Neurospora crassa OR74A: one gene and its partner. The protein of the gene in region 1 interacts with the protein of each later gene in a pairwise test. Links are inferred from orthologs where the notes say so. Each region holds a gene or a part of one and is shown in the gene's direction. Other genes may lie near its edges.

Region 1 (4,263 bases):
AATTCATTACTTTAATAAATATTTTCAACCTCAAACTATCCGAAGAATAACTCAGTAAATAGGGCCTATATCTCTTTATATAGTATAAAAGTAGGGTAATTTAGACCATCGGGTATATTAACGGTATACTAAATAATAAGACTACTATTATTAAAAGCTTCCTTTATATTGTTATTTTCGTCGAAAAAACTAATAAAATCTATACTTCTACGCCTAACTTTAAACTACTCTACTATAAATACCTTAATATTAAACGACTTTAGTTTAATAACTTATCCTTTTATCGCTACTTTTATTACGCATTTACTATACCTTAATTGGAGGCGAGCCTAAAGGTCGAATATCTCTTTAATAATATTATAATTATTATCCTCTATAAGTGTATTATTGTAGTTTACTCTATTATCGACGTCTTGCTCTACTTATATATAATCCGGGACTTAAATATTAGATGGAGTAGAAGAGAGAGCAAATAATTCTTTAATTCCTAATAGTTTAGTTGCTAAAGAAGTACGTTAGTAATATGGTTATACTTAAGAGCGATTACGACGATGTTGTATGTGGGCTGGAAGATTGCGAATGGATTGCGCATCCTTGTGTTGGGAGTCTTCCTCTATGGTAATGATAATGAAATTGATACCGTTGGAAAGCTGTGATTTTTGCGATCCGAATTAACTAGAAACCCTCGTGATGCGACGTGTTGTTGTGAAGTTATAGTGTTGAGGTTGATATTCTGGGGGGTTGGTCAACCTCTACGCGATTCTAATCGAGTTGTGTACTCAGACCTCCTTGAGCGGAGGGCCAAAATATTGCCCGGTTTGGAAAGAAAATTCAATTTATCAATAAAATGCTGAGATTGTGGTATTCGTTACAGGTCCGTGCACGCCCGGGAGCTCAAGGTGGGTCTGAGCGCTGAGATAACTACTTAGCATCGATCCGGTTGTGAATTTGGTGCTCACTTGAACGAGGAAGTGCCTTGCAAACGGTTGTATCAAAAGCGTCCACGTCTCAGTGTCCTTGACGGTAAATAACTTGAACCTAAGTCACCCACAGATTAAGCAAGCACACGGAAGCTTCACTAGGGTGAAGATCAGACGACGCGGTGTTTTTCTGTTTGAATGAACAAGGTGTGTCAGTATGCCTTCAGCTTTCTGGAGCAATCATTGTGAGGCTGGGTGCTCACGATCCCAGTGGTGCCTAGCGTACTGTTGTTGGAGCGCCCGTCTTTGCCACACGCAACAGAGAACTTCCATTCCATAGATTCTACGTACCGCACTCACGACACTGACGGGCGTACGCTACGCTAGAAACTGAACGCTCAGACTCAAGGTACCGAGAGCGGGGACGCGCTAAAAAGGTACCGGCCTCTCAAAGTCGACCACCTCAGGGATTTTGGGGCAGGTGAGGTGCACCGACCCAGGCGAACCAGGGAGAATTGCGGTACAGACTGGACCTGGCGAACATCCCCCTGCGACCGCGACGACGCATCGAAACCTTCCCTTCCGTTGGCTGGAGTCCCGACTGGAGACTCAGTTCTCACTCACCACACACCCACACACCCACCCACCCACAGCACCCATCGATACTTCCACAGCCTGGCGGTCCTGGCAACGACCGCCCAGAAAGAGTTGCAGGGTGGAGCCCCAGGATTTATCTTTAACAGCCTCCCGACTGCCCTTGCTCTTCCCGAATTCGTTCATGCTGCCCTCCGCCTTCGCTTTTTTCCCTTCACTTCTTCTCCCTCACCTTGCGCCATTCTGGTTCTCTCCACCCTCCAGGCTCTCCACATCCTCTCTCTTTTTTTTTTCACACACTCGTTCCCTCGACCGGCCATCTCGATTTTTCGCGCACCCAAGACCTTGACGAGTTCCCGAGACCCTCGCTTTCCAGCCTTGGTCACCAAGTGACTTGCACCAAGACTCTGTCCACGGTCAAAGGTGTAAGCGGTCACCTCCAGCGGCGAATTTCTTTCTCTCCACGTCTCCCTTCCTAGCGACGACCGACGACAACATTTTCGACTCGGTTGCCCTGCAGACATCTTGCTAGCAACCCTTCGCCACTGTTTAGCGGCCGCTACCTCTACGGGTCGGATTTTGCGCCCTTACACATTCGTACGTACCTACTAGTGCCGACACCGCAACACGCTTTAGCAACCATGTCTTCGGGCTCTGAAGACGACAAGCCGCTCGCCAAGGTCAACGGCCACGGTACGTCAATGCTTCTGTGATCAGTCACACACTTTCATCCATCAGCCCTCGCTTATTTCACTCTATCCTCTGCCCCGTCACACTGTTTGCCAGCCGATCTGAGTCAACGTGTCATGCCTTCCATGGCCTCGTCTAAATGCAATCTGTCATTGTACCACGCCCATGAGACTAATCTTTTCTCTTCAACTATAGCCTCGGCGCCGACCATCTCCAAGGCCGATGATCGTGCCATGGACGCTGCTGATTCCAAGGTTCACATGGCTCCCGTTGGTGTCTCCATCCGTAATGGCCCCGTCGACCAGGACAGGATGGACGTCGACTCCTCAGTAAGCGGTCAGGCTAAGCGCAAATCGCGGACATCCATTGATCAGTCCATCAACTATAAGGATGACTCCAGTGATGACGAAGCACCCTTGGTAAGTTTCCCAGTCTTTGCAGCTTGGTATCCTTGCTTGGTCTGTGGCTGACCAGGACAGGCGAAACGTTCAAAAACACAACATAAGCAACCAGACTCCGATAGCGACGACGAGCCGATTGCGAAAAAAAATGGCGCGAGATTGCCTCCCTCCGCCAAGAATACGGATATGGACGTAGATTCTGATGACGACGAACCTCTCGGAAAGATCGCCGCGAAGAAGGCCAATATCGAGAAGGAAGCCGCCAAGGAAGCCAAGAGTATTCGTGCTGGTACCAAGGCCAAGAAGCCTGCTGCTAAGAAGGCCGTCAAGGATGAATCCTCCGATGACGAACCCCTTGCGAAACCCACCAAGCGACAGGTCAACGGCACAGCTGCGAAGAAGACGAATGGTGTGAAGAAGGAAGAGTCTGACTCGGATGTGCCCATCGCTAAGCGGGCGAAGAAGGCACCTGCCGCGAAGCCTGCTGCAAAGCCTGCTGCAAAGCCGGCTGCAAAGGCTGCCACGAAGGCCGCCCCGAAGGGCAAGGTTGCCGCTGTCAAGAAGTCCGTCAAGGAGGAATCGAAGGACATCACCGATGAGGACGATGAGGAAGAGGAGTATAAGTGGTGGGAGGAGTCGGCAAAGAAGGAAGATGACAGTATCAAGTGGACCACCTTGGAGCACAACGGCGTCATCTTCCCCGAGGATTACCAGCGTTTGCCCAAGGACGTCAAACTGCTCTACGATGGAACGCCGGTCGAACTCGATATCGAGGCCGAGGAAGCTGCGACCTTTTTCGGCTTCATGCTTAACTCGACGGTGAATGTTGAGAACCCAACTTTCCAGAAGAACTTCTTCAGGGACTTCAAGGAGATCCTAGATCGGACAGGTGGCGCCAAGGACAAGAATGGCAAAAAGGTTGACATCAAGGAATTCGAAAAACTCGACTTCTCCCAGTTGTGGGCTTACAAAGATGCTCAAACGAAGGCTAAGAATGCCCGGTCGTCAGCAGAGAAGAAGGCCGAGAAAGCCGAAAGGGACAAGAGGGACGCCCCCTATCTATATTGCAAGTGGGATGGGCGAAAAGAAAAGGTTGGTAACCCCAGAGTGGAAATTCCAGGACTTTTCCGTGGTCGCGGTGATCACCCCAAGACCGGGTGTATCAAGAAGCGTGTTTTGCCAGAGCAAATTACCATCAACATCGGCAAAGAGGCCAAGGTCCCAGAGCCGCCAGCTGGCCACAAGTGGAAGGCCGTTCAACATGACAACAAGGCAACTTGGCTCGCGATGTGGCAAGAGAACATCAACGGACACTACAAGTATGTGATGTTGGCAGCAAACAGTACTGTGAAGGGCAAGGCCGATTTCAAGAAGTTCGAAAAGGCCCGTGAGCTCAAGAAATACATTGATCGCATCCGTGCCGATTATACCAAGGACCTCAAGAGCGAGGTCATGGCTGACAGGCAACGCGCAACGGCCATGTACCTCATTGACAAGTTCGCTCTCAGAGCCGGTAACGAAAAGGATACCGAGAACGAGGCCGAGACTGTCGGTTGCTGCTCTCTCAAGTACGAGCACGTCACCCTCAGGGAACCCAACACTGTCATTTTCGACTTCTTGGGCAAGGACAGTATTCGTTTCTACAACGAGTTCACGGT
Region 2 (4,188 bases), on another chromosome or scaffold:
ACGCCCATTCTCGTAGTAAGTAGGACATGAGGCTCGTGTCGCATCAAGCGAGGAAAGACTGGCTAAAAGTCCTCCAGTAGTACATAGGTGGAAAGGGTTTCCAGCTGAGATGAACTTGTCTGGAATGCCACTCGTCTTTTGACCTACATGTGGACTCTTGGTACCGCATTTGTTTAGCAACAAGAACTGAACACGACAACTTGATGTCATGGGAGTGCATCATGCAGGTCGTTCCTAACCTCTTCCTCTCCTCTATGAGAATTCTTGTATTTGCAGCCTTGCTGATAGGTACCTCTACACGGATATATTACTGCATCACCGTCCACGCTCTGCGAAGAGTTCCAGGATAGCTTTCTCTTGTCTCTTCCTACCCTCCTTCCTCAACGCAAGACATTGTTTTGAATATCCCACGCCGCACTGAACTGGGGATGTTCCAGCATATCGTACACATTCACCTCGGTATTGGAGTTCTGAATCAACACTCGTCCCTGCATCTAGACTTGGCCATCTAACATTCCAGTCCACTTTACATCTTGGAGCCTTTCGCGTACGACGGGCCACTTGGTAACGATGCTCTTTCTTATTCTTGGCGTAAACTTTGCGATATGCCTAGGTGGTCTGGTTGATGCGGATTGTCGAGTGCCAACTGAGCAAAGGTGGTGGGTGACGTCGATATTCATCCCAAGAGAGTGGATAGGCGTGGTGGGTTAACCGACTTGAATAGACGGATGCCCGGGGTTGGCAAATGGGAGTCCCTTCGGATTCTCTTCCCACAACTGACCATGAATCGTCCAAAACAGCAATGGACGAACGAGGGCGATACAAAGGCTAGGTAGACCAAATCACGTAGGAGAAGGGGTTTTATAGCATCTCTCGTCCCTATCATCCCATGGTGCCATCCAAATCGACATTGTTAGTAGAGTGATCACACATGATCAAGTCGACTCTCCCTCGAGTGTGTAAGTTGGACGAAAGAGGAAAGTCTTGGGAGTTGTAAGACGAAGGGTCCTCCGGCGGCATTGAACACTGGCTTCCGCATCACGTGGCTGCCCGCATTCCGGCCATCGGCCACCGGCGTGGAGATTTGCGGCAGCGTGAACTGCCCTGAGAGCAAGTGGTAGGCAATTCGGTCCGTTGATTGGCTAGAAATGGGATCGCCGCTCTGAACACCACCCCACTTTCCTTCCATCTCAGACGAGCCGGGACGGCAGACGGAACCGTAGGTGGGGCCCTTGAAGCCAAGTGTGGAACCAATCACCGTCGCAAATCAGCCACAAAGCAGCCTCACTTCTTCCGGTTTTGGCGGACAGTTGGCGGACCGTGGACCACCAACACCGCGACCGACCTCACTGGACTGAGACTCCCGGACGCCGCCGCAACGCAAGACACTGCCTGCAATGAACTGAACAGAAGACCGCGACGGCAATGTCACGGTAAACTGAAGGAATCGCATCTCTCAGCTAGTACTCCACTCCCGTCCAGAACTTGTTCAGGTACCTGAGGTCATCGTGCGCTTCGTTCCATGCTTGGGCTGGCCATCTGCATCAGAAGAAGAAACTGCTGAATCTGCAATTCGCTGCTTGTGCGCCTACACGTCTCGAGGCTCAACTCAACACCTTCTCTCCACCGTACGCGATCGCAGGCATCACACAACCGCATCGCATCGCAGCATCCCTACTCTATCTATACCTGTCACATCAGGGCACCCGGCATACTCGACACAATTGAGCCGGCAGGACGTGGTCTTTTTTTTTATATTTCTTTTTTTTCCTTCTTCCCTCCAGCTCCAACACCCAAGGGTTGACCCAATTCTGTCGTGTCTTGGATGATTCGATCATCCATCATTGATCGGTCACTCATCCTTTCCCTTTTCGCGACCATCTCGTAGCGTATCATCATCTTCACCGGCTTTTGCTCCAAGCGCCCCTACTTGAGCGACAAACCTAACCTGCTACTTTGCGCTTCTTGTCCGGTATCTTGAGCGTCCTGACCCCCCGGCTGTTCAAACAGCGGCCCATACGCATCCTGTCTTTCAAGTCCAAATTCGGACAGCAAAGAACGGCCATTCTGTTGTCGCGTTGAAACAAAGTCAGCTGTCGCGCCCGCAAACTTCCTGCTTTGTTCAACTAGGCCACAGTCGGCGACCTGTTAATCGCAGCTGTTTACTTTCCTTCACCCAAGAATTATTCCTACCCGGACTTTTCGTCAGGGCGCAAGCTATTCCATCCACTGAAGCTACCAGCCCTTACATCATCTGCCAGCCCAGCTTCAGTTTAGAACACCACAAGGTTCTAGTGGACACCGCACCCAATCATCCCCAATTTCTCCCGTCAGTGGGTGTATTGTGCTACACCACCGGCAACATGGCCGCGCAATGTAGGAACATTGCCCAAGCTGGTCTCCCCTACCGAATGAAACTATGCTAACTCGGTCTAGTTACTCCCGAGGAGGAGGCGACCTACGCCCGCGTCATCGATGAAATTCTCGAAACTGCCGACCTCGATACAATTTCTCGCAAGGCCATTCGGCAGAAAATGGAAGCGGCCATAAACAAGGATCTAAGTGACCAAAAGGTCAGTCGGTGCTAAAGCCCGCCTTGTCTGCTGCATTGGCTTGCTGCTTCTAATAGAAACCCCAATGCTCTCCTAGCACCCTCCCCGGTTTCGGTTGTTCGATCACCTGCTGACAGTTCTGGACTCCGTATAGCATGCCATCAAAGGCTTGATAGAAGCCCGATTCGACGCCGCGCAAGCACGCAAGGCTGCCCAAGAGCCAACACCCGAAGAGGCGACTCCCGAGGCGACTCCTGACAGCGACGAAGATGACGCTGCTACCGATGGCGAGATCGAGGTCCGGCCTAAGAAGCAACAAAAGCGCGAGAGCTCAGAGGATGCCGACGCTCGCCTGGCTGCCGAACTCCAAGCGCAGGAGAATAAGCTCTCTCGCGGACCCCGAACACGAGGTGGAGGCGCAGCCAAGGTGACCAAGAAGTCCAAACCCAAGGCCAAGACACCAAAGAAGAAGAGCGCAACACGGGTCAAGTCGGACGATGATAGTGACATGGAGCCCGAAGAGGTGGAAGGGACCAAAAAGCGCAAGGCCGGTGGCGGTTTCCAGAAGCCCTTCAACCTAAGTTACCCTCTCCAGGAAGTTTGCGGAGAAGCTCAGGTTGGTGGTCATTGTCCAATAGGCCGTGAACCGAAAACTAACCCCATCACAGCTCTCACGCCCACAGGTAGTCAAGAAGCTCTGGGAGCATATCAAAGCGAACGAGTTGCAGGATCCCAGCGACAAGAGACAGATTATTTGCGACGAAAAACTTCAGGCGGTATTCAAGCAGAGCTCAATCAACATGTTCCAAATGAACAAGCTCCTCGGCAACCAGCTGTATCCGATTGAAGAGTAGAATTCCACGTTCTGATCTGGGATGAAAGGGCTCCTCACGTTGGTATTGGGTCATTGGGGACTAGGCAGTAGGCTGGGCGTGCATGGCGTCATTGGAAAATCTCTGGGGCTTCGGAACTACTAGTATACCACAATACGTCTCGTTTTCATGGTTTGAGGGTTGATAGGAGAGGTGTATGAAAGGGATAGCGCATTTTCTCGGGTTTTGCTATTTGCTGGGGTTTGTCTTTGAGACTTTCTCAGGGGCGCAAGGGGGGTTTCTCTTACCCCAGTCATACCAATTTGGAGGCAGATACAGGTTATGAGTAAGTCGGAAGGGTTACTCGTCGGTTAGGTTAACGTGCCTCGCTTATAGCGTGCACCTAACCGACAAGTAGGAATAGGAAGAACAGTGACCGAGTTTGAGTCATGCCTATCACCGGCGGTCGACGGCTGGGTAGGGCTGCTCGTCCTGGTGTCAAACTTTTTTCTGGAGAATGGAGGTGCATATCCTCATCAGCTCATCTCTTAGCATTTTATGGTGGTGTTTAGTATCATGGTGACCTACCATAGGGAACGGGAAAACAGGCATGGCGAGACATCAGCGATCTTTCTCCTTTGTTGTGTTCGTACTTGAGAAATACAGCAGTCCTTCTCACATGCACTTCCAACACCACCATAAGGCTGAAGCCGATAGCTAGTCACTTTAAAAAGGGGACGACAGGGTATGTATGTTATGTACTGATTGCCCCTATACGGTCGCCATAGTCAGGCATGCCAAGCCAGAAACAAAATGTCGGCACC

Evidence for each region.
Region 2: the proteins of NCU09118 (region 1) and NCU02204 interact in a two-hybrid assay, tested with the Saccharomyces cerevisiae proteins (2 studies listed by BioGRID). The link is inferred for Neurospora crassa OR74A from reciprocal best matches to the Saccharomyces cerevisiae genes TOP1 and TRI1.

What each region holds. Positions count from the first base shown.
Region 1 is NC_026501.1:5,391,548-5,395,810, reverse strand, and holds the start of NCU09118 (DNA topoisomerase I), read left to right. Parts: upstream 1-1,422; 5' UTR 1,423-2,155; coding exon 2,156-2,207; intron 2,208-2,399; coding exon 2,400-2,623; intron 2,624-2,683; coding exon 2,684-4,263.
Region 2 is NC_026507.1:3,338,224-3,342,411, forward strand, and holds NCU02204 (SWIB/MDM2 domain-containing protein), read left to right. Parts: upstream 1-1,335; 5' UTR 1,336-2,363; coding exon 2,364-2,376; intron 2,377-2,436; coding exon 2,437-2,573; intron 2,574-2,706; coding exon 2,707-3,168; intron 3,169-3,220; coding exon 3,221-3,406; 3' UTR 3,407-3,983; downstream 3,984-4,188. Other genes in the region: NCU02205 (hypothetical protein), read left to right, coding at 1-15, 178-350. UniProt on the Saccharomyces cerevisiae protein: May be involved in transcription regulation.